2 linked regions of the Schizosaccharomyces pombe genome follow. The protein of the gene in region 2 interacts with the protein of the main gene of each other region in a pairwise test. Each region holds a gene or a part of one and is shown on either strand. Other genes may lie near its edges.

Region 1 (16,556 bases), on a different chromosome or scaffold from region 2:
TAGAGCACAAAACATGGTATAACCGTGACAGTGATAATTGTTGAAAATCGGAATTCGGAGTGCTTATTATTTCTTGATCATTTGCCGAATCATCTTCACTAGTGTTTACAGAAGGGGTGATAGTTTTAAATTTCATAGCAACTTGGCTAGAACCAGTAAGCTCCTCTAAATTATATATTTTAAGAGAACTTTTTTCGCAAAGAATATGTAAGGAAAGAGATCCGTCAGCCTTATCAATTATTGCAGACCAAAAAGGTGAATCAAAAGGACCTTGTCTGTCAAATTCAGATGACTCAAAAAAATAACAAGGTTGTATAATGAGGGATCTTATGGGAACCTGAACCTCATTTAATAATAGAAATGGATGACTACCTGATACAGGTAGAGCTCTGTCTTTTGAAAAATGAATTTGTTGGACAACACCATTCATTTGAGAATAAACAGAGACATAGATGTTTTGAGAAAAAGTAGCGGTAACCGTAATTTTCAAAGTAGGATCTAATTTTCTATTATGTTTCCATTCAAGTAGCGGCTTCTGAGGATGTTGAATATCCATCCACAAGACGGACTCGGTAGTTAAAATGAAAAACTCAGATTTAATAGGCATAGATTCATTTACCACTTGTAGAATCCTAACATCTGAACTGCAGTGGAATAAAAGATGGAAATCAGGTACCTCCCCAAGAGACACATGAAGAATAAAAAAAGCATTATGCAAAATGACACCGCCAAAATACTCTTCCCATTTAGCTCTATATATTGTATTATCGGGATTTATTTCTTCTTCGTGATAAGCAATGGAACTTGTTGGTGCAGAACATAATGCTTGTTGCAAAGACTCTTTGAAAGAACTACCGAAGCATTCCCTGTACCCATCATCTAAGAATTGCCAGATGGTCCATCTACCAGATGATGAAGTTGTTAAAAAAAATGAATTATCGGTGGGATGGACAGACACGTTAGCAAACGAGTCAGAATTATAAACATCATCTGCGTACAAAAAACGCAGAGGTATAGCGGACAAGCATCCAGGTGTATTTGGCTCATCTAAGAACATTAAATCATAAGTTACCTGGAATATAACCAACTCACAAGACGATAATGCGAAGAGCAAACTTGGTTCTCCATTAGAGAAAACCAATTGTCTCACTGGTTGTGAGAATTTCCATATTGGATCCTCAGCAAACTCAAAAGCCGATACATTCAAGTAAAATGGGAATTCTTCAAAAGTTGCAGTATTTTGTAATGTCGGAGATGCACGAAAAATCCATGGAGACGAGAGGCATAAAAAGAGGAGATTTTCCGCAGTTTCATTGCTAATCTTGCTACAAGCAAGACATTCAGTTGTGGTGTATCTGTTTTTATCTGATGGCGCTGTTTTACCCAAGCAAAAAGTATTTAAAATATGTGGATTATATATAGACTCAGCAGAAGAAGCTAATTGAGACTCTTTCGCTAGTGTAGAAAATAAATTTCGCGGAACATATCTGCAAACACTTAAACCAAATGAACTACTAGTCGCTTTACGCGTGGAATTGGTGGCCTCAGCAGGAAGCTCAGTTAATTTAGGGAGTTTGTAGTTTGGATTTAAAGATAAGATATCCCATCTTTTGTCCAAGTCAACAAGCTCGACGCCCGTATAGGAGTCATACCTAGCAAAAGTCCATTCATTATTTTCAACCTTCTCCGCTCTGTGATAGCCAGATGGATTTAAAAGTTGACACGCCCCTATAATTCCATAATCCAAACTTACACTAGGTTTTTTACTAATTGCATCAATAGGCCATGTTGACATGAAGATAATTAGAAAAATAAAATTAGATTGAATTGTGTTTACAAAAACACATCTAACGACAATACAAGAGCAACCTAGCGACAAAGCAAGTAATCAGTGTTTCAAGGAAGCAATGCTGGAGTAATTTCACCTATAGTTAAGAACTTGACTTTATTGTTATACTATAATATATTTAAAGTGCTATCTTTAAACCATTATATAATTATATAAAATATAACTCCTACCGACTACATGCTTTCAATTGAACAATTTATTGATTTATGTTAACTGAGAATTTCTCTTTACTAGAAAAAGATGAAGTTTAAAAGTAATACTTAAATTAGTCATAAGACAGTGTTCAAGTAGGAGAGGAGTTCTTCTCCGAAGTCTCTAAGCTGCTATCAATTACATGTAGATTAACACAGCAACAAAACAATCTCCTTTACAATGAAATGCAAACGCTTACGATTTTGGAATGATTTAGCAATAGATAAATTGGTTTACGAATGTTGCATTAGCCCAGTTTTCCCTTTTCATAAAAAATACGTAAGGAGGTGCTGATACCTGAGGAAGAGTGCAATATTCAGATTAGCAAGTGTTTTGAATTCTCTTTAGTGTCCGCTTAACCAATTTTATCGATATGTTTATAATTTTGTAAAGTCAATAAGTTAGTTCAGCCTGTTATTTGTAAGTAATTTATTGTATGCAACGTCTAAAGGAGCTTGATACATTTTAACGTACCATTAAATATATTTAGACTTAAAAGCATCTTTCAAGTAATGTCAAGAAACCTAAAAAGACCGCTCGGCGACTTACATTCTAGCAAAACGTTGATTAAAAGAATGGCAATTAAGCTAGCTTCTACAAATATTTAGACTTTTAATAAAATGAAAATTAATTTTTCTTGCACAGAAACCCATACAAGTAAAGTTTATTAGTTAAAAAAAATGAAAGCTTCTGCAATGAACTTTCATTTTACGAACTTAATAAATATTTACACCGTATTGTTTACATTTAAATTTGTTACTTTAAGGTAGTTTTGATATATCTTCTTAAGCATTACGTCTTATGAAAATGTTATTATTTGGGTTGTAGTTCATCATTATATATATTGTGCATCGTACCACCGTGTGATTCTGGCTTTGTTTTCCCACATATTTTAGGTCTAACTAACACATATTTAATTAATTACTCTTTTTTACTAAAAGGACTCTGCTTGGTCGTTGTATACTTTGTATGCATCGCTTCTTTTGGTGAATTTTTTAATTCTTTGCAATCGCAGCAGAGAGAAAATAATTGTAATGAATTCGATTGCTAGGCTATCAGATGAAATTAATAAAGCAATCCTTGCCACTCCTTTAGACGACGATGAAGCTGACAAAGAAAAACTTGCTAATGCTCGGGGGCGAGCTTCATCAGCTACTTTGAGGCATTATAATCGTCGTAGATCGTCTTATTCGGCGTCCAGCCTTAGCAGTTTGTCATCAAAACCGACGGAAAAGGAAGTTCCTACAAGGAATGAAAAACCGAAGCATGCCAACATTATGCGTGTTGTCGTCTACTGGATTCGTGTGTTCCTGAAACGAATTTATACGTTTTTCGTTCATTCCGCTCGTGTATTTTTGTACCACTTTTTGAATGAAGAGAAAGAGTTTACCCTTGCAAGTTTTTTTTGGGGTCTATGCCGGTTTGTCTTTTTTCCTGTATTATTATCGTATAAACGCCGAGAGATGCTTCCCCCTCAGCCAAGTGTCCGCCGTCCTAGGTTTTATTCTTCTTATTCTTACCCATCCTCTCACCAGGATCCTGCCTATTCATCTTTCAAACGACATAGATCTTCTAATTCTTATAGCAGTTCTTCTAATGGAAATCATGTTCGTTTTCAGCCCTCTATTGCAGAAGAAGAAATTTCTTTCAATTCTTTTTCAAATTCATTGAATTCAGAAGAAGATGTGTGTGTTTCTCCTATGAAACCCAAAGAGGTCTCCCTAATGGGAAAAGCAAATTCCAATCGTTCAGGACATTCGCATCAACCTCAATCAACTCAGTTTTCCCCGCCTGCTAATGACAATATTTCTAAGCTGCCTTCCTCCTTTACGATAGTTAATGATCCTCTTAAATCTCCTTCTTCTTCCCGTCTCCGTATTAGAAACATTACTCTGTGTGCGGACAAAATACCGAGGCCTTTGTTGAATAGCAAGTTACCGAGAAAGACCCTTGTATTAGATTTGGATGAAACACTTATCCATTCCGTGTCTCGTGGTAGTCGAACGACTTCTGGACAGCCAATTGAAGTACATGTGCCTGGTGAACATCCAATCCTTTACTATATTCACAAAAGGCCTCATCTTGACTACTTTTTATCAAATGTGAGTCAATGGTTTCGCCTTATTTTGTTCACAGCATCTGTCCAGCCATATGCTGATCCAATAATTGATTATTTGGAGCGTGATAAAAAAATATTTGCTAAACGATACTACCGTCAACACTGTGCACTTGTCGATAGTTCTTTCGTTAAAGATATTTCCATTTGTAATATTCATCTTTCACGGATCATGATAATTGATAATTCTCCAGCCAGTTACAATGCTCATAAAGAAAATGCCATACCTATTGAAGGTTGGATTAGCGACCCCTCTGACGTTGATTTACTAAACTTACTTTCTTTTCTTCATGCACTGCAATATGTTCATGATGTGCGAGATCTTTTGGGGCTTCGTCTCGCAAAATAAGTGCTTTTCATGATTCCTTTTTTTTTTCGTGAGTAATTTACTCGTTATTTATCACCAGTAACGATGGTCTAAAATAACTTTTTCTACTGCATTAACATCTTGGGTGCCTTTCCTTTCTCATCATCAAACTTCTTTGTTATAACCTCAAAAGGGTACCTTTTGGATATTTCCTAGACCGCATTTGGGCCATTCCAGTTAAATAATTTTTGTTTCTTTTTGCTGATAATATGTCAATTAATGTAAGCCTAATCGTAAGAAATTCTTTCTAATAAACTAAACGCATGTTTTAAGAAAGATTAGTTTCTGCACTGATGTTCGCAGCAATTACGAAGGCAACTTACTTATGAAATTTCTTTCTAAATCAAGCTTTTAATAAACATGTTTATTCTATTTAAGTGTTGATTCTTTTTTTTTTACTTTTCAATCTGTTATTACAATCAACTTACTTAATCAGGATGGGCAAAGGATTATAAATGATTTAATGATTATAAACCAGATTACATAGACTTTTAGCATTTTAAAATCATATCACTAGGCTAACGACATTGTTCTAGCAAATAACATAACCCAAAACCACATTATTATTATATGTATCTAATAACACGAAAATTCAAAAAACCTAATATATGCAGAATTAATAGTTGAATCAATACCAACCACCACTTCTATTGAAGTTTAATACTTTTAACTAAACCAGCTTTAATACCAGTCTGCTCACCAGCATAGCCGCCCTGTGGTGCGCCCTTGTAAATAGCCTTTTTGCTGGCTAATTTCTTCTTAGCTTTTTCGTAGCGCATACGCTTTTTAAGTCGAGGATTTCTATTTTCTTTAGGTCGACGGGGAGTTAATCCTCTATTTTTAGCAATGTCTAAAGTAATTCCACGCTTATCACCTTCACCTAATTCAATTAGTTCTGGGTGCCTTGAAGCTCTTATTAAATCACGTTCGAGATCGTGATTTTCTTTACGGAGCTTTTTAGCCATCTTTGATTTTTTATCGAGAGACTCGTAATAATCCAAATCATCTTGATCTTCAACTTCACGATCGACATTTGCAGGTATGCCCATTGATTCCGGATCTTCATCATCAAGATCAGCACCAGCATCCTGATTTCGACCCCTGGCTGCAGCTTCTCTCATCAATCGCTGCTGGCGTTCAAATCTTCGTTCTTTGTATGGCATGTCCAAATCACCTGATAACTCCAGTACCGCTCTGGAACGCTTAGCTGCCTTTTGGTCAATTTGATTAGCATAAAACTTTAAAGAGCGTTTCCTAGCAATCTTGTCTTCAGCATCAACATCGTCCAATCTGTTGCCTTCACCATAGTCATCGAGATTTTTAATATTAGTATTAATTTTAGATTTAGCGGCTCGAAATTTCAAAGTAATATCATCATCTTCAGCTACTGGAATATCCTTAATGCCCTCATTTTCATTATCGCTGATTGATTCGTGCATATCAACATCTTCTTCATCTTCGGACGCACCAATGTCAGATGCCGATGCTATCTTTTCGTGAAGCTCGATAGTTTTTCCATCTTCCTCGAGAGAAGTTGGAGTCAATACTTCATCTAACCCACAATAAGACTCCCACGTCTGTTTGCAACGAACAAGGTCAACCATAATAGGATGATTTTTTAAATCTTCCTCTCCATCTTTCAAGAGGGCAAAGTAGAATGTTAGAAAACTGATGTAAGTACTCAGAGCGGTGCATTGAGCTTGAAGTAGCTGAGAAGATGGATAAGTCTTAAGTTTCTCCTTAATTTCATTTAACTGGGGTTTCAATTGATTTAATTCATCTAAAAATAATTGAAATTCAGGATGTTTAGCTTCTAGAATCTTTAAAAGCTCTGTACGAGGGAGATCAGGTGAAATTTGCTGAACAAGTTCTTCAATTGCAGCAGCAGAGGAATCCTGTTTTATAGATTTTAGGTCACTGTTATCAGCCCATTGACTAATATCATCAATAGCATCAGTTTCGCTGACTTTTTCAAGACGTTTACGTTGTAAACGCAACGCTTCTTGCTCTTCCATTCGTGCGTCAAATTCATCGTCCTCCTCAGAGTAGTCTTCATTGTCATAATCATCCCCACCGTAATATGATTTTGCAGAGCGACCCCAACCTTTATTATCATATAACTCTTCCTCATTAACAGCGTCTTTCTTTTTGCCCGAGAGCTCTTCATTTTCTGATAAATTCTCCTCGGCGTTCCCATCTTCCTCATCGCTAGAACTTTCTAAAGCCACAAGTTCTTCATCACTTAATTCTAATTCGTCTGCTTGCTCGCCGTTGTCAGCATCAAACAAAATTTTATCCTGTGCGTTATAGAATTCATCTTCTGAATTAGCAACATCTTCGTATGTATTGATTGCGTTTATCTTTTCTTTCTCCTTTATTTCTGGTACCTTTAAAGAAGAACCTTTCCGAGTAGAAGAGCTTCTCGACTTCTTTCTAGCCATACTGATATGCAGTTGACAAATATAAAAATTCTTTTTAGTTACGAGGAGCCACTAAAGGGGTAGGCAAGTTTTATTTGCGAATTTAACGCAATAAAAACTTAATTTTGTTAAAAATAAAGCAACTCATTATTCCACACTATTATTTTCATGGACTTCTCCGTACATAAGAAAGTTAATTAGAGGTGTTTTCTTTCCAAGAATAAGTATTTACATATCAAATTCTTTTAAAATCATTACATGTATAATTTTCGATGCACACAATTATGTGAGATGCATGGTTCATGTTGACAAACTCTCCTAATGTCATAGTTGCCAGTTGTTTTGAAGTTATGCGGTTTATTGAAACAGACTTAAAGGACTTAACTCGTTTGCAAATCTCGTATTTCTTTTAAATAATTGATATTCACCGAAGTCAATTACCCTGTAATTATAGATGACTTGTAATTGTTTACAAAAACACCTAAGACGACATTAGCGATTTTGCAAGTGAAATCAAATTTAAAATACGTTCAATTCTTTGTAATGATACGTCAAGGAATTCAGTATTGTGTGGTAGAGGAAGACGATCGTCAAGCTGACTTTCCAACTCTGAAATAAGCCTCGAGTAGACGCTTAAAGTGGCTTGATGGCTTGATTCAGTTCTTTCCATAACTGGCGCCTTTGTTGTTTGCTGTGATCTTTCCGCATCATTTGTTTTAGATATAGGTAAGGAAGCTATCTTTGGAGCAGATTCAGCGACTGTTACATGTTCAGAGGCATCAGATTCCTTTAGGTCGTTTATACATGAAACACAAAACATAGGGTTGTCACGAAGTCGCATCATAGGTACCTAGAATAGTGTTAGAAAAAGGGTAATAGTAAAATTGGTTTTGTTTTAAAAACCAAGGTAGCAAAAGCATTTTGAGAAAAGAAAACTGACTTCCTTAATATCATTCCGTTTGCCATTGTATTCACCTGAAGTTTAAACAACGACTAAATACAAAATTAATTACCTTTTCACATTTCGGACAAATGGTATCCAAGAGAGTATAGCCGCGGAGCATATATTGACCCAGTTGAGCGGAGACCTCGTCTTGTGTTAACATTTTTCTAAAGACAGTAGTGTTATAGAACCGATTTATACAAAAATAAGAAGTGTTTGTATATTTTATGTTCTGAGTTATTTCCCTACTTGTTAGAAAATTTTAGTTTTGACGAAAATGCTGTAGGTTGTCTGTAAAGAGACTATGAGCGTAGGTTGAATCGAAGAACTAAAGAAAGACAAAAAATTTATGTATATATAATAAACAGAGTTATATAAAAAAAAACGCTGCACTGAAAGTTTTGGAGTTTGAAAACTGAACTTTTGATTTCTTTAATGGTGTGTGCAAGTACTAATCGCTGCTACAGTACAATGATTTGAAAAACTAGGGTAAATTAATTAAAAAAAACGATATATGGAACCCATACAATTTTTTTATTTTTTAAAGTCTAAATCTTTCCTTTATTTAATATAATCCCTTTTCTCACTTGATTTTATTTCACTTGTTCTAACTTTTACCCTATTTTTTTAGTATAAAAGTTAATGGCAAAACAAAAATGCGTTTTCGAATGAAAGCTGTGAATGTTAGTAAGAGCACCATTAATGGGGGTTTGCTGTAATTCTCCGAAACACGATGTAATAATGTATCTAATAATTCCTCTATAACTCATTTTTTCTAAAGTCACGGGTATTAGTGTAACAGACTAACGTCACAAATAATTTAAAAAAAAAAAGAAAAAAGAAAAAAAAAAATGAAACAATGAACGAGCTTCGTAAGAAAATTCGATGAAATATATTTATTGTTAATTAGATGATATAATAAAAATAAAATAAAATAATATATATTCGAGCTGAATTGATTACATCAAATACCAAAATATTAATAGGAATAAAAAACAAAATAATTACATAAAATTATTCATCAAGTTGCTACTTTCTCTCATGATGATTTAAATTAAGTAGAGTACTTGTTAATTAAGTATGTTGCACAAATTAGCATAATAGATGATGGTGTTTATTTATTTCATAGTCGGTGCAAATAACAATCATCTCAAAAAGATAGGTTTATTGGAAACCCGCTTCAGGTTTCGTTTTCATATTAATATCATAAGGTTGGTAAATTTAGCGGATTGACAAAAAAGGTAAACTTTTTCGTAAATTTAGAGAAATACAATCATGTTTTTTTCAACCAAGCAATTGTTTTATAGATTAATTTAACTCTTTTTAGATACATAGACCCCCAAATGCTTTACCCAATGAACAAAAGAATATTACAAAGCGACAGTTTTTTTTTATTTACTAAGGAACATAGACGGTTTGCCTTGTTTACTGATTTCGGAGGCTAGACAAATGGTAACGAAGGTTTGGCGGAATTTCAATACGTATATGTTACAAGTAGTAAATTTTACTTTTGAAATTGCTAAAAAAGCGGAAAGTTTTCCCGATCATTTCCCGTACGGCATGTTGGAATTTGAGCATTGAAATTTCAAAGCAACCCTAATTGTTCCTTACCCCTTTTTCCTTTCCGTTCCTGCTTACTGCAGATGCGAAGGAAAAACTTGTGTACAAAGACTAGCGATAAGATAAAAACTTGATTGAAAAAAGAATAAACAAAAGAAAATCTCGACAGTCAAGGGGAGATGGCATAGAACGGGATTATTAAGAAGCTATTTAGATGATGGGTATTCGGACCAAACTTCTTTGTATATTATACATACAACTTGTGCAAAGTTGAGGAAAATTGTTATTATTCTTTTTTTTTTTTTTTTTTTTTTATATTTATTATTTTCCATTAACTTCGTTTTCGTACTAATAAGTATTCAAATGGAAAGCTTTTCTTTTAAACATATTTCTCACCATTCGTATTTTCCAATGCTTCCTTTGTAAAATGTAAATAAATAAATTAATAGATATTTTTTAGGAAACAAATGTATTCATCATAGTTTAATTTATTTATTTATTTTCAAAATTTATTTTATTTTATTTTTTTTTTATTTACTATATTCCGTCTCATGTAACTTCACTAAAGTTCATTTAATTTATACTAATTCATTCAGTTCATCCCATCTCACCGTATATGTTGTATTACTTTCCATAGCCACTATTACTATTATTCTTTACTTACATACCCAACATTACCTCTTCCCCCCCCGTAGTACTCATTTCCCCCACCTCATTAACTCCTAAGTCTTAGTCTAGCTAACCATCTCCATCTACCTTTGCTTTACCCATGATACCCTTTTTCGTACCTTGTGGGGGGATCCGATATCGACCTCACTAGTGTGCCACACCCACATCTTTTACATTCGGTATGCGCGGAACCATATGATTGTGTCCACTTCTTTCCAACATGAGTATTTTAAACCGTTAGCATGATGTAGCTTTTTGTCACTTAAAGTGAAAGCTTTGCCGCCCCTTCCGTCGTCTGGTACACGCTTCTTTGCTTTAAAAAGAATGAGTGGTCTTATATATACGAGTTAGCTGTTAAGGCATTGGTTAACGAGCTTAACTACCAAAAGAGATAGAAGCAAAAAATTGTTTGAATTTGCCGATACCGTTAGTTGTAGTGCAAATCATTTCGTTGGAGAAGTTATTGTATAACCAGTCGGTCATACATACATCGCCAAGAACGCAATCCACCTTTTTGCCAACCTAACGTAGAGGATCGTAACAAACGTTGCCTTTGAAGTGAATTCTAAGCATTTGCCGAAAAAATTTGCTTCGTTCTGTCTTTCTACTACCCTATTCGGATTTTGCAACAGTTGCGTAAGGAAGCAAAATTTCGTGTGTGTTAAGTACTTAATTGCACCCAACTAATTGACCCGCTTTTTTTTTCAACATACACCACTAGCTGTATTGAAAAGCAACGCATTGTTTGGAATTCTACAGAGATTAAGCTGATTTTTCTGTGCCAATCGAATTTGTCAGCTAAATAGAATTTCCTTTCATAGACTTATTGTTCTTCTCTTTAAGCTTGTCTTTTCTTTACGGTTTTTTGCCTAGTGTTTGAACAAGTCCAATTGCGCCTTAGTTCGTAGCTAGCTTAACTGTCCTTGCTTTGTTATCCGTTTATTACAAGGTTTACGAAACGTTGCCGCTTTTCATCTTTCAGCCACTCGCCTAAATTGCGTTATTCCTGAGATTTGTTTACGAGCCCAGCTCCTTGTCACTTTCCGAAACTTGTGTGCTGTATATTACTTGGCCTCTTCCTCTATCCTGAATAGCCAAGTATCTTTCAATAGCTATTGTTTCCCTAGTTCTATACGTGAGCTTTTTGAAATTTACATAAAGCTCTCGGTGACTAGATTTAACATATCAATCTAACCAGATTATATATATTTTTTTGTTTGTTAGAACAAGTTGTTGATACATCTGGTTTAGAACCCTCAATAATACTTTGTTAAGTTTCTTGTTGTTGTGTCTTTTATAAAACATAATTACTTGCATTGTTTCATTTTTCGTTAAGCATCTCTTTAGAAACGAAACATGGCCGAATCAACTGCTACAACTACCGCTGTTCCACCTCCAGCAGAAGAGTCTTGGAATGCTGATAGTGAAGATGTTCATCAATTTTACTGGACATACACGGAAGAGCCTCATAAAAGTCGTCGTGCTGCTATTTTGAAGGCCCATCCTGAGATCGCCTCTCTCAATGGTTATGAACCTTTGACCAAGTGGATTGTTCTCGGCGTGGTGTCTCTCCAATTCACATGTGCTTACTTGCTTTCACAAAGTTCACTACTGAGTTGGAAATTCTTTTTAACTGCCTACTTTATTGGTGCCTTTTGCAACCAAAATCTCTTTTTAGCCATTCACGAGTTGAGTCACAACCTTGGTTTTAAAAAAACTCTTTACAATCGTGCTTATTGTTTGTTTGCTAATTTACCTGTAGGTGCTCCTTTTGCTGCAAGCTTTCGGCCCTATCATATGGAACATCATGCCTATCAAGGTGTTGATGGTATGGACACTGATTTGCCCACTCGTGCCGAACTTATTTTATTTGATAATGTGCTTGGAAAGGCATTTTTTTGCACTTTCCAGCTTTTATTCTACGCATTCCGTCCCCTTGTTGTTCGCCGTCTTCCTTTCACTTTAATGCACTTTTGGAATATTATCGTTCAGTTTTCCTTCGATTATTTAGTTGTGCGATATGTTGGATGGAGAGCATTAGCCTATTTCTTTATGAGTTCTTTCTTAGCCGGTAGCTTGCATCCAACTGCTGGTCATTTCTTAAGTGAACATTACAACATGACCCGCACCCGTCTTATTGCCTCCGGTCCTGGTAAGGAAACACCTTTGGAGACCTTTAGTTATTACGGACCTCTCAACTTCTTTGTTTATAATGCTGGTTATCATATTGAACATCACGACTTTCCCTATGTTGCATGGACTCGCATTGGCAAAGTGCGCGAATTAGCTCCTGAGTTTTATGACAACATTCCTGACTGTAAGAGTTGGTGCGGTATCATTTATCAATTCATCACTGATTCAAATGTTGGTATGTGGTGCCGAGTTAAGCGTAAGCAAAAACATGCTGATATTCCAACTAAATCAATGCACCTTCATGTTTCATAAATATGATGATGATTGGGTTTCGGTTATTTCATTTAAATTCTACTTCTTCATTTTTGATTTATTTTTTTCGTTCAGCGTAGTGGTGCTACTTATTCATCTAATTCGACTGCACAGATTGAAAATTAACTTAATCACTTGAGGCGTGTTTCACTTAATATTTTTAATAATTGATCACTACTTTTCTATTAAATACTATTGCTGTCAAATTTTTTTTTAATTGCTTCATTATTCATATGTAATAAATTACTTTGGCTATGCAAACGGTAATGTTCTAAAACACATAAAAACGAAAAAATAAAAACGTTAGCAAAATTACGACAAAAACCAAATTTCTTTATCTTGTAAGTTAAAGTAGCTGGCATATATTATTATAGAAAGTATTAAAAAACTTATACCTAACGCAACAGTCAAACAGAAATCTAAAAAATAAGAATTCTAAAAAAAACCAAAAAAAATAACAAACACAAATGACCAATAAAGTACTTCATTAGCCATTGCTTTAAAATAATCTATTTAGAACCAAAAAAGTTATCTTGAACTAGCATAACCTTTGAGTATTAGGAACATTACTTCGAGCCCCATAACAATACAAGTAAACGCGACAGAGATGTTCATAATAAGCATTGGTGACATTTCGTTCAAGCGAATTTTGTTGACAACATCATAAGATGAAGCCATAAACATAGCACCACCACAAATAAGACAGAAACTGGTAATTATTTCAGTAGGTGGACGAGTAGGCCAGGGAGAGGAGGGAGGTTTCAAGTATAGCATAATATATGTACAGATACGTGCTATAGCTGCCGCAGCTAATAATCTTCCCCATAGGACATGAATGACGGTCGAGACATGATTGGTTTGGTCATGTGCAGACATCATAATACCGGTGAAAAATACTGTAAGAGCAGGAAACACATTGTATGAGGGTAAGCCATTCTCCGAATGCTCTGAATCTTCAGAGCGACGCTGACCAAGTGTAGCTGATAAAGTAGCATTTAACAACCGGTGGACAACTTTAGATTCTACAAGAATACCACACAGACCGGCCCACCAAAGCATGAATGCTAATGATGCATGTTGCAAATCGTGATGATTCCATTTTCCATCAGTATTTCCCAAATGCTCCAGCCAAACATTTGAGACACCATAAGCAAAGAGCAAAAATGACTCTACCATTTCTTTAGTGGGTACATACTTAGCAAATCTTTTTTCAGAAAGTTGCTTGGGAACAACATTCCAAGCCCAACCGTACTCGGAGAAAGCACCTAAATATTCACCAAAGGACAAGATGCCGTACCAAAGAAATATGGCGCCCTTAATCCAATGAGCCAAACCATTGAAAATATGTTGTCCTTTAAAAATTCCAGCTAACAAAACAATTCCTGTACAGCTTTCAAAAAAGCCAACATATAACCATAAGTGACCTAAAATTCTATGGAAATAACGAAGAACCTGGAGGACACACCATTTTTTAGGAATTGTACGCCATGACCTAATATTTATGAAGGAGATACTTGGGATTGATGGTTTTTCAGATGATACGTCGCGACGGGATGATTGAGGTGGAAGATATTCATCAGAAGAATTACCCTCTCTTGGTAATAAAGGTGCACCGTCATCTAAACTATTTCTTTGAAGGGCTTGCTCAGGATCCTCCATCGCACCTGGAGCCTCGGCAGCAGGTTGGTACTCCTTCAACATTCGTTTCTTTAATATAGAAGTTGTAATGCCTACTATTGCTATCAAGAAAGTAATCCACATGAAAAATCGTCCTACAGGTCGATGAATATTTCCTTTGTAATAATTTTCAGGCGATGCTTTGTGATGACTTATATGAGCAAAAATATACCCAATAAGGGTCAAAATAACATATACAATTTGTACGGGTATATGTGCTTTACTTTTCGCCATAGCGAGTACAATTCCAGCAGGAAGGATAAATACATAAGCAATTATCATGCAAATGATATGAGCCATAAGAAATTTGTTCATGTGATTTGCATAATTTTCGAAATCAATTTCGATGGGATTATCTCCCGTGGAATTCATGTGCATTCCATCCATTTTTTCGCTTTTTTTTGCAAAATGTTCAGAAAAAAGTTAACTAATTGGTGCCAAAATTAATTTTGGAAGAAAAAAATTTGTTCAAATCAAATAAAAGGGAAAACCGAGTTGGGTTAGCAGCTCTACTTTATTCCTTTTTCTTTTATATTTATAAATTAAACCCTGAAAACTGAGTTCCTTAAAGCATCAAACGCATGAACTATTAGTTAGTTCACTTCTGGCTTCAATTGGAACTTTTAGAATCTAAAAAGAGTTAATAACACTTCTGCCATCATCGATATATATGCAAATCAAGTGGAGTGATTTTTGCGCAGACATATCCGCTCCGGTATCATAGCATGAAATTCTCTCATCAAAATGTGTTAACTTGTAATATGATGCTATTAACCTACCTTTTTATTATATATAAGTATATATAACAACACTATTAGAAGGGAGAAAAAGGGATTCACTTTGAGAATGGGTTATGGGAGTGTTTAAGCTGAATCGGACGGTGACGGAGTGATAACGATCAAGAACATTCCTATTGGCTTACTTGGCTAAGCATCCTGAACCTATCTGCAGCTACTAGAACTACTCACATAAAAAAAGTTAGAACAACATAACAAGAAAAAAATTTCGCATTGCTTGTGTTGATTTTATAACCGCCATGGAACAGGGGGGTATGCTGGACACATTCAATCGTTACTTTACAACATGTAGGGCTGGTTACTTATAAATTTCCTTAAAATGAGGGACGCGCCTGCCGGTGCATAGTTTAAATATAAATATATTAAAGCAGTAGTTTATGTAATACATATTGTATTTATCAGATGAGAATTCTATTGGTATTTTAATAAACCTATAAAGAACAATATAAGGGTTAAAAAATAACAAGTATTAGTGCCATTAATGGCAAGTAGCGTTAAGAAGAAACGGGTCCGGTTTTTTTGCGATTTGGCAGAGGTCGATTTTCGGGATTATTTGGAGTCCAATTACCTAATGAATTGGTAGCGTAAAAGTCCATAGGATAAACTTCCTTCCAAGGAACAACATTAAAAGCAGCAGATGCTTCATATGGTGTCAACAATGGAGCGGGAAATGCATAGCCCCAATCTATGGAAAGCCTTGGACAAGCGACCTGAATCCACGCGTCAATATCAGAGAATTGACCCAATCTACTAGGAAAAATTTCTGACATTAAAACGCAAACGAAATCTTTATTATTTTTCCTTAAAGTATTCTTTAAATTTTCGAGTACCTTAGGAGACCCCTGTCGACCCAGTGTACCTTGAATTAGACCGAACTTTTTAGCGGTACGAGCTTTCTCAACGGCGGAATACCGAATAGATTTCATTTCTTCATGAGCATAAGATTCAATAGAGAGCTTATGTGAGTAAGGATCATAGCGGTATGCGGGCAAATCAGGATTAGCAATCATGACAGATTCCAAATGGAATCTTCCGTCACCAATGTAAATTAATGCATCTACAGATCCTTTTTCAATATAGGGAGATGTACATCCCAACGCCTCTCCAGGAGATAATGGCTTTGCTTGTGGAATAACAACGTAAAAACCTCCCTTTCCGTCTTCATCCTGTATTTGCAAAGCGTCTTTTATAGAGTTGAGAGATCCAACAAATTGGATAGTTCCAACCAAAGCTAACCTAGAATTGGAGGGTAGATTATGTTTTAAAGATGATACGACATGTTGCAAATCTATCTTTATATCCACGAAAACATATAGCACCTTTATGGGCGTTTGATCAACAGGTATAAGACAAGAATGACCATAGTGTACTAAAAAATCGCAATCGAGTGCCCTAGCTGTAAAATCGTCAATACAACACGCACCGTATGTAACGTCGCCCATCACAATTGTCTCGACCTGGCAAAATTGTTCAAAAATATCAGACAATATACAACCAAACATCAATAGCCCCTCGGGAAGT
Region 2 (17,341 bases):
GCGCGAATAAGACCAGCACCAGCCATACGACGCAAAGCACTAGGATCGGCTTTACTAACGAAGGGGCAGTGCTTTGCAGCTAATTTCACAACGCGTTCCATTATTTAAATAAGAAAAATAAAGAAAGAGAGTGACAATGAAAAACCCAAAACCAGCAAAAAATCGATCCAATCTTATAGAAAAAATGCGACCGAGAGAAGAGGATATAGAGTCAACGCTTTGACTAATATATATTTTTTATTTCTTAAAACCCTTTCAATGGATCAACCAACTTTCAAAGTGTCTATCCAATCCTTCTTACAGAGCAAGAAAAAGGTTGAGCAAATTAGAAAAAAAAACAATCCAACCAAGACCTAGCGGGCAAATAACGATGCTATCGACTGTGGTATTAGAAGGTACGAATTTGCAACACCCCGGTATAGTTATTTAGGGAAAAATATTACGGTATCCAAATCGATCTCTGGATAACGATGGGAAACGTAGAAAGAAAGCAACAGGTCAACCTTTAGTTACTTATTTAAAGAAATAGGTAAGATAAAAAATTTACCTTACTATAAATAAGACAGAAGATGTAACGATGAGAAATATTATCGGAAAACCAGTCAATAAACTTAAATGTTTTCAACTGGACGATATTACAAGCACAATTCGTTTCGGAGGTTAGCTTTCGTTAAGTTTATGCCTAAAGAATTGCTGTTCAGTTAGGAAATTCAAAAAAGAAAGGAGGAATTGCGGATTTTATTGCAACAGCGGATTTCGTCAAGATTGTCCTAGATAGCAACTATTACAAATCGCTGTGCGGGCCTAAAAAGGAACTAGGTTAGTAATGAATCCTGAAACGGACGCCTCGCTATTTTTAAGCACCAACAAGACTCACGAACAAGAAAAAAAAATCCCCGACGGCAATTTCCCGAAGGAAGTAAATGTCAACGCCCAATAATGGCGCATCTAATTACATGCATCCCCAAACGAATGGAAACAAGATGGCCGCTAGTAAAAATGAAATCAACTTGGAGCAGCTTTTCCATTCAGAGATGCATGCGCAAATGGCGAGGAGGATAAGGATGACTGTGCGGGTGCACGATGCATGCCTTATGGATTTTCTTTATCGTAGTCTTACCTTCGCTTAAGCGGTTTCAGCGCAATTTTGTCCTTATAAACACAACTGCTAGAGACACTGCCTGTCTCGTTCCTTACCAAAAATTAAAAGAAGAAAGTGAATCAACGAACTTTTTTTTTTTATTCCCAAGAAAAAAAACACTTTTATTATATTATTCCTTCGTATAACAGGAAAAAATACGCGTTCAATTGTGGCTGTCGCAATTTTGTCCAAACCAAGCTGGGGATGGTAAAAGGTAAAAGGAGTTTGTGCATTAGAGGAAGCAGTAGTGAAAAATGTTACCACAATTCATGCACCTACAAAAACTGTCATCGCTTTTCTAAAATCGCTTCATTCTTTACAATAGTAATTTAATATACTTCTGTTTTGTAGCGCAGTATGGAAATCATTTTTTTTCTGAAATCCTCGGGCTTTTCCTAAGTGAAATTGTAACTTAATTACACCCGGTTTTGTTCACCAGCGGGGCGGTCGGCTCCCTAAACTCGTAAACCCCCATTGTTCCTTGTCAGGATTTGCTCGCAGACAATCCGACCGCCAGTGCGGAAGAAAAATTTCCACTACCGCTTAGCGGGAAGATTGCGACAACGCCTTGTCGAGTTGGGTCGTTTGGCTTAGACAAGGAGGACACGGAGTCTTAGCTACCTAACACACTAAGCTGACTTGGCAGGCTATACAAAGTAGGCAGGTAGTTTAGATGCTAATTGCATGTTCATAATGGTATGACCGATTAGATGAAAGAGCACATGGAGAATTACATAACATGTTATTTATTACAGCGGAAGCTTTCAAAAGTTCTTATGCTTACAAACATATTATTATACTGAATTATCATTCTATATGACTGAAAATTCTTTTTATAATTTGGCTCTTTTAGCTTAATTTGAGGCTCTTTCTCCGTTTTAACTCTTTCTTTTTGTAATGAAAACAAGCTTGGCAATGCATTGTTTTTCCCTTTACTGTGATCAACATGGTGTTGTTGCCCTTTTTCTTACGCAAAGCTCGCTTCTTCTTACTGTATACTAATTTAAACTCGGATCAATCGAGAAAGTTCAAACATCTGCTAGTATTACTACTGCCACCATGGTTTTTTTTGTGTCCATTAATAGAGAGATAGTCCAATCAAGTTGATTTTCATTTTTATTACTTTTTATATCCTTTATACACTATAAGTATATCTTTTATATTGGTTCATGCTATACTCTACACAAGTATGAATCTTGTATCAAATGCAAAGAAAAACTTTCCTTTTCCATCTTGACAGTGTATTGTTTGCCCAATCAAACAAATCCTTTTGATAATGCCATTACTCTTCGTTGCCTCTCCATTCTTTTATTCAAATTACACTTTTAGAAAAAACAGCAATTGCTTTCACTCATATTTCGTCAATCGTAAATTATTCATAATATTCATGTTCACATATCATCGAATTGCATATTTTTGCGACATTCATCATCTGAATTCTTTCAAAAGTTGATGGGCAAAAGATGCCGGCATTGGTACGCGGCTAGAAATGCAGATATACCTCCAATTCTCAACACCCATGCTATACTATTGTCGGCGATGTCTCGATGACTGCCCTCCGATTGAATAAATACAATGGTGGCAATGATGGTGCTCAACACTTGGGGGGCAGATATAAATACATTGTGAACACCAATCATTTTGCCACTGCTTTCTCGTAATCCAAGCTTCCCTATTTCTGAAGAAAATAGCGAATATGGAATCCATAGAGTACATGCCCAGGACAGTCCACAGATAGCTACCATTGCCTGCGCTTGCCATGATGTTTGCAAGAATATCGTGCTCAACATACAAACACCAAAAAGGACATGGGAGCTCAACCACAGAATAGGAAGAGTAAGTCCTTTGATTTGTACCTTGGAGGATATCGTTGTCATAATTGATCTACTAGACGGTAAAAGCCTGCGTCGTGAGGGCTCATTTTCCGAACGGAAAGAAGTTGTTTCGCTCAAATTACCAAGACGGGGTGTATTAGTACCAGTTCTTATATTTCCGAGATCGTTTCTTTCTTGAATGTTGTATTCATTATTAGATGCATCACTCGATTCGTCCTCCTCATCATCCTCCGTGTCCTCGAGCAACAATGGAAGTGCTGTATTTGCGGCAAGAGAAATGATAGCAAAAAGCAGTAATGCGAACGACCCTTGACGAGTCGCCATGTCCCAATCTTCTTCATGGCCTTTAGGAGCATGGCGTAAATATAAAATACCCACATAGGTAGTAATATAAAACAAAAATGGAAACCATCCAAAGTATGCAAAAAATTGAACAAAACAAATTCTTTTTAATGTAAATGGAAGTGCGGTAATACTTTGTCGCATAGTTGTAAAAAATTCAAAGATTTCTCCAGCAACCGATTTCTCGTGTTCAACTGGTGGGAATCTCCTTTCACTCACAAATATTGTTGTGATGGTAACTGTGAGTACCAAGGAAATGGAGGCAAGTACGCAAAACACCTGTAACTGTGTGAAATTGAGAAAGGAGAAGATGCGATATAGAGGTAAATAGCCTAGTAAGTACCCAAGCACATTGCCTACACCTATCATTCTTCCAGCCCAGGAATTTGCTTCATGCTGTTGATCTGAACGGACTGAATCAACAATTAAAGATCGAGTGCTAGCCATTACTAGTTATAAAGTTAGTCATTTGTATGAACTACTACTCTGAAAACTAAATCCCTAAATTCACATACCGACATTGACGGCCACGTCAAGCAAATAAATGCTAATCGTAGCCAAAACGATAGTAACACGTTTCATTAGAACCTCATTGCTAAATATAAAGAGGCAAATATCAGGGGCCCAGCCCATAAGGAATAAGCTGAATGTTCCTAACAAACTAGCACAGAGCATGAACGGTCTCCGCCGACCTATTCTTGAATTAACCCGGTCGGACAATATACCAGCAATTGGCTGAATTAATATTCCAGTCAAAGGACCGGCAATCCATATAATTGAAGTCCATTCTTTACGAAGACCAAGTGAGAATAAATACGGTGTACCATAACCAAGTTCAACCGACCAAGTCAATTGAACTCCCAAAAGTGAAACTGTAAGAGCTATTAAGTAGAGGGAAGAGCGAGAAGGGATAGACTCTTTAAAAGGTGATGATGCCTCATTTTCGGAGGATAGAAGTTGTCCATTCTCCAATTGATTTTCATCTACAGACATATTTTAATGAAACTAAGCTTTAAAAGCAAAAGAGAAATGAGAGGAACGTTTGGTGGAACTTCTTTGGTAAGAGATATCTGTTCCTACAACAAAGTTCAGGGGGATTCAATTATGATTGAGAGAAATGATTTTTTAATTTTTCAAAATAATTGATCGCTGTCTAACTTGCAATGAATGTATCTGATCCTTGATAGCATACAACAGGCCACAATGTTTTAAATGTTAGTCAGAGAGAATAATTCAAATGATAGAAGTATAATCGAATATGTGATAAAAATCCTTCTAATTTCGGGGATTTCAAGAATTATTATATTGATTTTAGCAATGTTTGAAAGTATTAGACATATAATTTTTCACAACGATACCAATCCCAGTGATGCTCGAAAGTTTCAAATGGCAATTTGTAGATTAAGTTCGCAGAAAAGCAGAAAACTAAAGAATCCGATTGAAAGTTCAACGACGAGTCACAAAAAGAAAGGATACGTAAGAAAATGTTATGAATGTCTGCAGATACAGGTTAGTTGAACAAAAGCGATTAAAATGAACATAGAACAAAGCATCGTGTACTTACTTTGAAATCGTCAATAAGCAAAAAGCTTCAATTTAAAGCAATAAGCAAGGAATAAGAAATAATAATAAATAATTAAATAATTCCTTACTAATAAAGTACCTTTTAAAAGTATGAATTCTTATGAATCCTTTCAAATTACTACACCTTTTAATATGCTTGGTTTAGAGGAGCGACTCCATCAGCCCAGCTCCGCGTAAATGTCATGTTGACGTTACACTGTGATTCTGCACTATAGGACATTACACCGCGGCACACTGCATTCCTGTATAAGTCAAATGCTTTTTATCTTTTTGAAATATCGTATAAATAGATGCCGTTAAGTCCTAATGATGATTAGTATATTTGAATCTTAATTTAATCATTAAAACTATATAGAATATTATCAAATTTAAACTGCACTCATCAATTTACTAGTAGCTATCGCACTTCCAATATTATTATAAGAATATGTATACATATCAATAAACATCTCCAGGGGCGCATTCTGAATACAGCAATATTCCGGTAAAATGGAGAACTTTTACGGTATTTTATTGCATCCTTGAAAACTAAAGAGCAGTTCGTAGCGAAACGATATATATTTAGCGAAACACAATGTTGCAATCAGTATACTCGTAAGCTATATTAACGTGATTAAGTATATACATAAATATTGTAAAAAAATAAGGAGAACGCAGCCATTCCTTATAACGATGAATAATTCTTCTTATGGTTAATGTACAGAGTTAGACATATTTATGATTGACCTAGATAATTGTCTATGCTACTCAATAGCTTTCTTTGCACGTGTTTATTGGGCCTGAACATAAATTGGAGAAGTTAAAATATTGCCACGTTCGAGCAATAGTAATTTAAACTCAATGGTGTTATCCGCGCATGGCTTGTCGCTCAAATACTTCTCTTGAATAACATGGAGCTTAAATATAATTCTTTTTTAGTATTCAAAACAATATCAATCCGCCCCTAAATTCCTAAATAACATTGCATGGTTTTCCATAGACAGTGCTATTCTCTTCGTCAGCAGGTAACATGCAACCCAATGGACTTTTCGTAAATTTTTTGAAGAAAAATCAACAAATTTAAAGTGATATAGGGGAGCTACGTGCTAAAATTCTTTTTTTTTTATTCTGTAAATTAATTTATTTAATACATGAGATCATTATACTGTGCTGTGAGTGTTGAGATGCGTCTACGGGAAATTTGCAATATGAACTTTTTACTTGGTAGAAAAATCCTGTCAATACATGTTTAAATGTGAAAACAAATACTGGAATCCATTTATTTTTTAACGAATCATAGCATACCACTCTGGTAAATGTAAATCTTGGAATTGCTTGGAATGGTACTACCTGCCTTCCCCACACTCATCAGAGAACTACTACCAACAACTTCTTACAGTAAGTACAGAGTAAGATGGGGGACAATCCTTGGGTTCTCCAGGAACAAGTCCTCGTAGAACTTTCAGAAGTGATAAAGAATTCACTCTCCGAAAACTCTCAGACTAGGAATGCTGCTTTAAATGTAAGATTTTTTTTTTCTAAAATTAAAAGTTTCTTTCTCGTTGTAGAAGATGCTTCTTTTTACTTCACGTGTGTAACGACGTGTGAAGAAGAAATCAAATGGCATAACTAACTTTATTATAGTTGCTTGAGAAAGCAAAGGATATACCAGATCTAAATAATTACCTTACTTGCATTCTCATCAACGCTACGGAGCTTAGTGTTTCAATTAGATCTGCTGCTGGTCTTTTGTTGAAGAACAATGTTCGTGTTTCAAGCTTAGAGTCTGGTTCAGGTTTGCAGAGCCTCGATTACACAAAGTCAACAGTTATTCGCGGTTTGTGTGACCCTGAACAACTCATTCGAGGCATATCTGGTAATGTGATCACTACAATCATTAGTCGTTGGGGAATTAGTACTTGGCCTGAAGTATTGCCACAATTAATGGAAATGCTTTCTAGCCCTGCTTCTACCACTCAAGAAGGAGCATTCAGCGCCTTAACTAAAATATGTGAGGATTCGGCTCAAGAGTTAGATCGTGATTTCAATGGTACTCGTCCCTTGGATTTTATGATACCCCGGTTTATTGAACTTGCTCGACACGAGAACCCAAAAATTCGTACGGACGCCCTTTTCTGTCTGAACCAGTTTGTTCTAATTCAAAGTCAATCTCTCTATGCCCATATTGATACATTCCTTGAAACATGCTACGCCTTAGCAACAGACGTTTCTCCAAATGTGCGTAAAAATGTCTGTCAAGCTCTTGTTTACCTGCTCGATGTCCGTCCTGATAAAATTGCACCCTCCTTGGGAAGCATTGTCGAATACATGTTGTACTCTACTCAAGATTCTGATCAGAATGTCGCATTAGAAGCTTGTGAGTTTTGGCTTGCAATTGCTGAACAACCCGATCTTTGCTCTGCTTTAGGTCCTTATTTGGATAAAATAGTCCCCATGCTTCTCCAAGGGATGGTTTATTCAGACATGGACTTGCTGTTACTTGGTAATGATGCTGACGACTATGATGTTGAAGATAGAGAAGAGGATATTCGTCCTCAGCATGCAAAGGGTAAATCGAGGATTACCTTGAATACCCAGGGACCAATTACTCAACAAGGTTCTTCCAACGCCGATGCTGATGAATTGGAAGATGAAGACGAGGATGATGATGAATTTGACGAGGATGATGACGCTTTCATGGATTGGAATTTGCGAAAGTGCTCGGCTGCTGCACTGGATGTTTTATCATCGTTTTGGAAGCAAAGGTTACTTGAAATCATTCTTCCTCATCTGAAGCAAAGTCTTACGAGTGAAGATTGGAAAGTTCAAGAAGCCGGTGTTTTGGCCGTTGGTGCCATTGCAGAAGGTTGTATGGATGGAATGGTTCAATATTTACCAGAATTATACCCTTACTTTCTTTCGCTTTTAGATAGTAAAAAGCCACTGGTCCGTACGATTACATGTTGGACCCTTGGTCGATACTCCAAGTGGGCTTCGTGTTTGGAGTCCGAGGAGGATCGTCAAAAGTACTTTGTCCCACTTTTGCAAGGATTGCTTCGCATGGTGGTTGATAATAACAAAAAAGTGCAAGAGGCTGGTTGCTCGGCTTTTGCAATTCTGGAAGAGCAAGCTGGCCCTTCGTTAGTTCCTTATCTAGAACCGATCCTTACCAACCTTGCTTTTGCATTCCAAAAGTACCAACGCAAGAATGTGCTCATTCTGTACGACGCAGTTCAGACCCTCGCTGATTATGTAGGATCTGCTTTGAATGATAAACGGTATATCGAACTATTGATTACCCCATTACTTCAAAAATGGTCCATGATTCCTGATGATGATCCTAATCTTTTCCCTCTATTTGAGTGTCTTTCATCTGTTGCAGTGGCTTTGCGTGACGGATTTGCGCCATTTGCAGCTGAAACGTATGCACGCACGTTCCGAATTCTTCGCAACACCTTATACCTAATCACTACTGCACAAAATGATCCTACAGTTGACGTTCCAGATAGGGATTTCCTTGTTACTACATTGGATTTGGTTAGTGGAATTATACAAGCTTTGGGTAGTCAAGTTAGTCCTTTGCTTGCGCAAGCTGACCCACCACTCGGTCAAATCATTGGCATTTGTGCCAAGGATGAGGTGCCGGAAGTTCGTCAATCTGCTTATGCTTTGTTGGGAGATATGTGTATGTACTGCTTTGACCAAATACGCCCGTATTGTGATGCTTTATTGGTGGATATGCTTCCCCAAATGCAACTTCCTTTGTTACATGTGAGTGCATCGAACAACGCTATTTGGTCAGCTGGCGAAATGGCTTTGCAATTAGGAAAAGACATGCAACAATGGGTAAAGCCGTTATTGGAGAGATTGATCTGTATCCTCAAATCTAAAAAATCGAACACTACAGTACTTGAGAATGTTGCGATCACGATAGGCAGATTGGGTGTTTATAACCCGGAGCTCGTTGCCCCTCACCTAGAGTTGTTTTATCAACCTTGGTTTGAAATCATCAAAACGGTGGGTGAGAATGAAGAGAAAGATTCCGCGTTTAGGGGATTCTGCAACATATTGGCGTGCAATCCACAAGCACTTTCATACTTGTTGCCAATGTTTGTCCTTTGTGTGGCCGAATATGAAAATCCTTCAGCCGAACTTCGTGATATGTTTCAAAAGATTTTACAAGGATCTGTGGAGTTGTTTAATGGTAAGGCATCCTGGCAAGCGAGTCCTGAAGTGCTCGCACAGATTCAGGCACAGTATGGTGTCTAAAAATTTCACATTTGAAAAGCTCAATAAGCACCTTTTCTTTGTTGCTTTTTTATGAAGGAAAGAGAAAACAAAATTTAAAAACAAAAAGTATGAAACAAGTTGTATGTATTATATTAGGATATTCAGGTGAATGTGGAAAACAGGAAGAAGAAATGCAAGGAAGACTAGATATTAATAATTTGCATATTGCACATTTGAGGTTACAAGAATGACGGAAAACAAAATTGGAAAAATAACCAAACCCAGAAGGGTTGGTACTTTTGGGTTTGGTTTTATTTAATAGTTCCGCCCAAGTATCGACGTTTGTATGTATGTTTCATGTATGTTTGCGGTTCAATGACTTTTGTAAGAAAACACAAAAAATATTCAAGAAGAACAGCATTTATCAAAGAATCATCATCTGAATCCTTTTATTTCTCGGCCATCTGTGCAGTGGGAAGGTTTTAACTTGCATTTCCCCTTTCGCCTAAGGATATTGAGGAAAGCAAAAACACCCGATGATTATCTTTCAATTGAGGCTGCACATTCAAACAAAAAAGGTTGATTTCCTGCATAATGGGTTCTGTTGCATGTACAATCGTTTTTCATCACTTACTTCCTGATGCGAAAATTCTTTTACTTAATATTATTTATTGAATTGAATTCACGTTCATGCAGTCTACGTAAAAAAATCAAACAACGAAAACTAATCATTGTAGTTTAAAACTTTTCCCTATGTTTCACATATGGAATGGAGCGGCAATAGTCTGGTAGAGCAGTCCATTTCAAAGTAGCGCATTCCATACTATTTTAATCATACATTTACGTCGGTTTAAAAGACACGAATAATGTTTAAAGGTAAGATAAATAAAATGTATAATAAAACTTGAGAGCGTTTTCTCTTGTTGATTATAAGTCTACCACACCTTGATGTCAATTAAGCTAATACTCAGCAAGTACAAACGCATTGTTCATTAAATGCATTTTTATCAATAATTACTATTGGAGTTCAGTCTTTTGCTCTCGCATAAAAATCCGCTTAAAAACTATAAAACCCGCTCAATCACAAATTTCTCAAAAAACCGCTATATTCGCGATTCAGCATTTGTCACAAGCTTCGATTGATCTCATACATAGCATTTTATTCATTTCATTCTCGAACGAACATTGCTGAATTCCATCGATCGATTAGTACGAATTCGAAGCTTAACGAACTTTTGTGACGAAAAGCTGGGTTAACATCATTCTTTACATGTCGCTGTACGTAAGGTAAAAACGTGATGGTGCTTCGGGATGTTGCTTATCATTACCACTCATTAATGTTATATCAGAAGTTTTTCATGGTATAAATAGTACTGTGTTGTTCGCATGTCGGGTTAGCAATACCATTTTAGTGAAAAGAATTTATAACGTTCTTTTCTTTGGTAGTTGAAAATATTGAATATTTCAAAAATACTCAATAGCATTGAAAAACAGCTTGGTTATATTCAATTTTGCTGAATCTCGTTGATTGCTTAATTGAATAATTATCAATTTCCTCGTTCATTAATTTTTGACTTTTTTCTTTTAATTTAATTTTATTTTTTTGTTCATACATTATGTTGGGATCATTTGTTAAGTTAAACAATGGACTTAAGTGCCCTCAATTTGCTTACGGTTCTTACATGGTGAATCGTACAAAATGCTTCGATTCGGTGTATGCTGCCCTTCAATGCGGATATCGACACATCGATTCGGCTCAGATGTATCACAACGAGGCTGACTGTGGAAGAGCCATCCTTAAGTTCATGGAAGAGACTGGTACGAAACGAGAGGATATTTGGTTCACTAGCAAGCTTAATGATTTAAGTGGGTACAAATCTACTTTGAGCAGTATTGATGCCAGTGTTAAGGCATGTGGCCTTGGCTATATTGATCTGTTTCTTCTTCACTCTCCCTATGGTGATCGTATTGAATCATGGAAGGCGTTGGAGAAAGGTGTTGAAGAGGGAAAACTTCGTGCTATCGGCGTTTCCAACTTTGGTCCTCATCACATCCAGGAATTGTTGGACAGCCATCCAAAGATTATACCATGTGTCAATCAAATCGAACTTCACCCTTTTTGCTCCCAACAAAAAGTCGTCGATTACTGTGAATCCAAGGGTATCCAACTTGCTGCCTACGCTCCTCTTGTTCATGGTGAAAAGTTTGGCAACAAGCAACTTCTCGCCATTGCTAGCAAGTATAACAAGTCTGAGGCTCAAATCATGATTAGATACTGTCTACAGCGTGGATTCATTGTACTTCCCAAGAGTTCTACTCCCAGGAGGATCAAAGAGAATGGCGACGTTTTCGATTTCGAAATATCTAAAGAGGATATGGAGAAGCTCTACAACTTGGATGAGGATTATCATTCGGATTGGAACCCATGCGTTTCCCCTTTATAATATGTTAAATGATCGTCTTGTAAGAGCAGAGAATGCATTTTATTATTTATTTCCTCTGCTATCCCTAGATATGCTAGTATGATAGAATTTACGAAACTCAATTTATGTCAGCTTATATACCAAACATGCATCCAATGACTGTTAGTATGAATTAGTATGAATCCGATATTACTTTTATCATATACGATCATAGATTAGAAAATTCGTATTACTTCCATTGATTTGTAAATGCTAGCATAATGTATCGTAAACTTATTAGAAACCTAAAGTACCTCATGGAAATGGCTCATTTTGGGTAGAAATATATTCAGACTCTTTACTATGTAGCTAATTAAAAGCAAATTCTACCCTAACTTTGGTTTTATCAATTCACACACTTCTCCAAGTACTTTTCGCTTCGTATATGCGACGTATGCGCACTTCACTCATCCACAACACCACACAATAAGACTCCATTAATTGCTTTCCTGTGAGCTCAAGGTACTAAAAACATGCTATTCTTAAAATCCAGCAGAGCATTTTCCAAACGACTGTTTTCTTCATCGACTGTTCGTTATAGAGATATTCAACGTTTGACATTGACTGGCAATTTAACAAAAGACGTTGAGCGTTTGCAGTCTCAAAAAGGAAACGAATATATGCGTTATACTGTAGCTTCCAATAATGGAAAAGACGTAGCCCCTACCTTTCACTCGGTTTATGTTTTCGATAGTTACAATTTCGACAGACTTCAAACTATTTTAAGGAAGGGAACGCGTGTTTATGTGGAGGCCGATGCTGTTTGGCGTTCCGTCCCAGCTGGAAATGAAGGATCTCAAGCGAAAATGAGCCTGCGACATGGTACGCAACATTGCAATGGTCCAAGTTGAAGCCTGAAGCAAAATTTGAAAACAGAATATAGTATTTACTAACCTCTCTTATTAGTATCTGCAGACGTTTTATTTTATCCTCGTAACAAAAATGGCGATGAATCCGGAGAAGAGACTCATCCTGAATTAGACGCAGATCCTATGATTAACAGCTTCTAAAATTCGTGTTTCTAGTTTAAAAATTTTCTGCACTTTAGACCGTTAATATATTTGGGTGGTATTTTTCTAGGGATTATTGAGTTTAAAAAGTCTCCTAATTCATTTTCTCTGCATTATGCACATACTTGGTATTGCTATGTATTTTTCATTTGATGTTTATTTCATTATTCCGCTGGAAATAATCTACCCATGGCTCTTCTGATTTGTTTTTATAGACAATAATGTCTCTGCTGTAATGTTTTCATTGCGTTCTAGGAATTACTTAGTCACCTTTACTCCTTCTTTTTCAAAGTGACAAATTTGTTAGTCCTTTACAGTAAATTAATAATCATTTTTTTTTATTTTAAAGTGTACTCTACGATTTGTAATATTCAGTTTCTTTAATTCTTTTCATTTAATGACTGATCCTCAAACTTCGTTAAGTTAGATTTCGCAGCCTCTGTGACTGTACACTACACTTCGTCAAACAAGCAAAGCTCTTTAAGCGCTAGCATTTTTACCAACAGCATCCACTATTGGAATGGCAGGTGACGAGTTAAAGGGCAAGAAGCGGAAATATAGAGATTCCCATTCCGGTGATGAAAAATCCGTTAAGATATTGCCTTTGAGTGAATCGAGTTTACCACCACTTGTCACGACAATTTCCGGATTTTATCCACCCGAAAATACCCGGTTCCAGCTTCTCAAAAAGAGCAATCAGAGCAACAGAGATGCGTCGTTAATTGGAAGGACAGAGCGTGTTCAATTTGAGGCTAAAAATCAATCAACGGCTACGGTTGAGGCAAATTACTGTTTAGCTGTTGCTGATAAAACTGGTCGTGTAAAAAAGATTGTTCCAGCAAAGTATCTTAATACTTTTGAAAGAAATATTTTGGCACTTCAGGAGAAGGACAAATTTTTGAAAAAGAAGCATGGAACTGTAAGCGGTACTGTTATGGAACAGCGTGCCAACTTGGGTTTGGCATTTGGTACAAGAAAAAGTCAAAAAGCTATTATGGAAGAGTCCGCCAATCGTGTCAAAGCTGAAACTTTGGGAGATGTCAAGGATCAATTGGTTAGTAATGTTCAAAAAGCTACTGAAGCACTTCCAACGCAAGAAGATATCGCTGCTGCTCAAGCGCAAGATCGCCCTATTCCTCCTGTCAATGTCGGTGCTGAATCCATTGAAGATGCATACAAATTGGAGGACATTATTCCCAAAGAAGAGTTTTCAGCTATTTACATTAAGCCTCTGTTAGAAAACCCTGACGAGCGCAATTGGGCCAAATTATTGCCGTACCGTCACTCCTTGTTTATTAATGAACGCTTCCAGCGATTACTTTCCATTGAGGAGGTTGACCAGAAGCGGGCGAGAATTTTGTATTACATTTCTCTTTTGCAAGCTTTTTTGTTTTCTCGTCGTTCTGTGGGCAACCGTGAAACTTTACGTAAAAAATTGGCTGATCCACCAGAGATTCTTATTGATGGGTTGATTAAACGTTTTACTCAAACCACCGGTATTGGTAGCGTCCAAGTATCATCTCGAGAAGTTGATAAAATCATATGTTATATTCTGGTATTGTGCTTAATCGTTGATAATTACTCAACTGATGTTCTTACCTTGGCAAATGACTTGAATGTCAAGACCATGAAGGCTAATGAGCTTTTTAGAACGGTGGGTTGTCGAATTATGGCTTACACCGAAACTCAAAGAATGGCTTTAGGTCTTAACAAAACTGATGCTAAAAATCATAAGCGTGCAGTATTAAAAATTCCCCTAGAGTTCCCTAAACCTCGACGTGGACGCGCTAGAAATTAGAGAAAAGTACAGCGTTGTTTATTTTCAAAAAAATGTGTGTGTGTTTTTTTAAAAAAAAAGAAGGACGGTATATATAGAAGAAACAACTACTGAAGTTCGTGATGTTCGATATCTCCACTGCTTATAATTGTTTTGGACGTCAAAGCGACATTGAGATATCCAAATAAAGTACCAACAAATTTTCAGAAACTTCTTATGGGAATACGGGATTAAAGGTGTTTTTTTATTATAGTGGAAGTACAGAAAATAATAAAATTTTGCATTGTATAATACTTTTGCTATAAGGCAAAGAAGGGTGACTTAGATGGTAACTAACTTTCAAGCAAAAAAGTTACCGTTTTACTCAATAAATCCTTTGGAAAGTTATAACATTGTTGTTTGACTATAGGGTAACAAATGACAATCGAAACTTAGATTCATGTTCAAAACCACCGTATTTATGATGTGCTAGGGGATGGTCTTTTGTATACAGTAATTGCTACAATCACCTGAGCATTAAATGAATTGGCAATAATATCAAGTTAGTATTAATTTTGAAATGGATTAATTATGTGGCCGTAAGTGTTTATGGTAATATGAAACAACACAAAGAAAGGAAATAAAAGGAGCGTGCAAATCCAATGATCATTTGAAACCATGATACAGTTGGTTTTAATCTTTTTCAGTATAACTTGCCCATAAAGCCACCAACTCGTTTCTCGTAACTGGCTCTGCCAAAATTAAACCGTCTCGTACAACCTGTTTAGCCTCTTCTATGCGATGCATTGCCTCCAAAGCCTTTGCTTTCCTATAATAACACTTTCCATAATTATTTCGAATTTTCAAAGCAGCATTTGCATCTGCTAAAGCTTCGGGGAATTGGGAAAGGGCAATCTCAGCAGCCGCCCGATTACACAACATAACACTTGCTTCTTCACGCGTAAGAATCGACGGTTCCCAAGTACAGCGATTCAAAGCGAGTTGTAATGCTAATCCATATAACTTTTTTGCCTCCTCATACTTTTTGCGTTTAAATGCCTCGTTTGCAGTTTGCTTCATCTTATTAACTTGGGTAGACAAGGCCATATTTGGCTTAGCAGGAGGATAGGGAGGTGGAATAAAAAAAGGATATTTAAACGTAGCTAATGACTTGGCGTATTCATTAACCTTTTTGCCCAACTCCAATTCCTTCCCACTCCATTTTGACACATCAACTTGAGGTGCAACCACCGATTCTTGTTTAGCAACCATCGAAGCAAAGTTTTAAAAGAAGAAGTAGTGAAGCTGCTCTTAATGTAAAGCACAAAGCTCGGATGGATTATTATGTACAAATAATTTAGAGAAGACAAGCAATGTTCAATGCAAGTAGTAAACTTGAAAGTGTTAGCAGAACGTGTCACAATACTTTAACACACATAAATACTAACTACGCAGTTTGTTATTTAATTTTAACGATGTGTAGAACTGCAATGAGCTTTATGATCTATTATATTGCAATATTGCAAAAAGCAGGTAATACAAGTAGCAACCGAGGACATATATAATATTTTATGTACGATCTATTGTTACCTATCATTAATATAGCTTTAACTAAACTGAGGAACGAGATTCAGCTGTACCTCTATTTATAATTGTTCTAAAGGGTGTTTTTAATAAAATTTATTTAGTTAGCGGATAGTTACCCATAATTATTAATAACCAGATCTCAACTGATATTCCAACATATCACATATAGTGATACGCAACGAAGTGTATATTAAAGTAGTGTAGTCTTGCACGGTATACATTTTTGCACATAATGCTATTCTTCATTATATGCAAGAGCACCCTGAACTGAGGTTACCAATGTAGTTGGTGTCTACTTCAATTTACGACTCACAGAAAACCCTTCAAAGGCTGAATTCTCTAAACCAACTGGAAGATAATGGATTCTTCTCCTAATGAGTTTTTGAATAAGGTCATCGGCAAAAAAGTTCTTATCCGGTTAAGTTCTGGTGTCGACTATAAAGGTATTTAACATGAATTGCGTCGGAGACAATGCAAGTTTGCAATTTGTTTCTATCGCTTTAACTTTTTTTCCGTTATTTAGGGTTTGTTAATACTAAACCTGTTTTTTAGGAATCCTCAGTTGTCTTGATGGTTATATGAACTTGGCCCTTGAACGCACAGAAGAATACGTTAATGGCAAGAAGACGAATGTTTATGGAGATGCATTTATTCGTGGAAACAATGGTATGGTATTTATATTAAAGTGCTTTGATTTCCTAACTACCGTCCAACAGTCTTATATGTTTCTGCTTTAGATGATTAGAGACGATTTCTAGCCCTTCAATACGATATACGATTATGGTACAAGATTGGTTAAAGTAATTTGCATAAAATACAAATTATCGTTAAAAAATACAAACACGTGTATACATAATAAGTTCTTATGCTAATGTTGAAAAGAAGAGCCAGAGTTCAATGAAGGATATATATTTGTAGATATTGATGTATCATTTAGAAGTAAATGTAATTTATAGCCCTTTAAAAAAAACCGTTTTCGTTAAACAAACACAGAGACGATGACTTTGGCATCATTTTTTTTTTTCAAGTTGTCATCAAATGAAACTATAATATACACTTCTTTTACCTTTGAATTTCTTCAATAGCCAAATCACCCATTTAGCCCATCTATAGAAACGAAGGGACTAGGGATATAGCTCCTGTATTTGTGAGTGAGAAGCCGCAATTCCACGTTTCCTTCTCCGTTTAAAGACAACTCTTAGACATAAGAAAAGGATAGCGAACGCAGCCAAAAAAGCAAAAAATAAGACAGATTTTGAATTTCGGTCTATCCAAATAAATACTTTAGCATCAGTGCCATGCCAGCTATCACCAGTAACATGTGAAAAAAATGAATTAGGTCCGTTTCCATAAAGTAAAGCAGGTAAGACGCGCACTGGTTCATGCGGCGTAAGTAAGTATTTACAAAATTGATA

The links.
Region 1: the proteins of SPOM_SPAC2F3.05C (region 2) and SPOM_SPBC3B8.08 interact in a two-hybrid assay, tested with the Schizosaccharomyces pombe proteins (one large-scale study listed by BioGRID).

What each region holds. Positions count from the first base shown.
Region 1 is NC_003423.3:3,370,390-3,386,945, forward strand, and holds SPOM_SPBC3B8.08 (uncharacterized protein), read right to left. Parts: upstream 8,183-16,556; 5' UTR 8,051-8,182; coding exon 7,958-8,050; exon of another isoform or gene 7,795-7,957; coding exon 7,426-7,794; 3' UTR 7,320-7,425; downstream 1-7,319. Other genes in the region: RNA polymerase I transcription factor subunit Rrn6, read right to left, coding at 1-1,795; Nem1-Spo7 phosphatase complex catalytic subunit Nem1, read left to right, coding at 3,076-4,506; U3 snoRNP-associated protein Utp3, read right to left, coding at 5,172-6,965; dsd1 (dihydroceramide delta-4 desaturase), read left to right, coding at 11,473-12,561; SPOM_SPBC3B8.06 (uncharacterized protein), read right to left, coding at 13,090-14,625; diphthamide biosynthesis protein Dph1, read right to left, coding at 15,530-16,556.
Region 2 is NC_003424.3:3,923,023-3,940,363, reverse strand, and holds SPOM_SPAC2F3.05C (xylose and arabinose reductase), read left to right. Parts: upstream 1-10,431; 5' UTR 10,432-10,727; coding exon 10,728-11,555; 3' UTR 11,556-11,739; downstream 11,740-17,341. Other genes in the region: hem1 (5-aminolevulinate synthase), read right to left, coding at 1-101; plasma membrane sucrose/maltose:proton symporter Sut1, read right to left, coding at 2,584-3,767, 3,834-4,311; SPOM_SPAC2F3.07C (uncharacterized protein), read left to right, coding at 4,531-4,836; karyopherin/importin beta family nuclear import signal receptor Kap104, read left to right, coding at 6,296-6,403, 6,526-9,150; single-strand DNA-binding protein Rim1, read left to right, coding at 12,047-12,395, 12,480-12,583; DNA-directed RNA polymerase I complex subunit Rpa49, read left to right, coding at 13,104-14,381; sec67 (translocation subcomplex subunit Sec72), read right to left, coding at 15,033-15,611; U6 snRNP-associated protein Lsm6, read left to right, coding at 16,285-16,369, 16,479-16,592, 16,643-16,671; inositol phosphorylceramide mannosyltransferase activity Imt1, read right to left, coding at 17,051-17,341.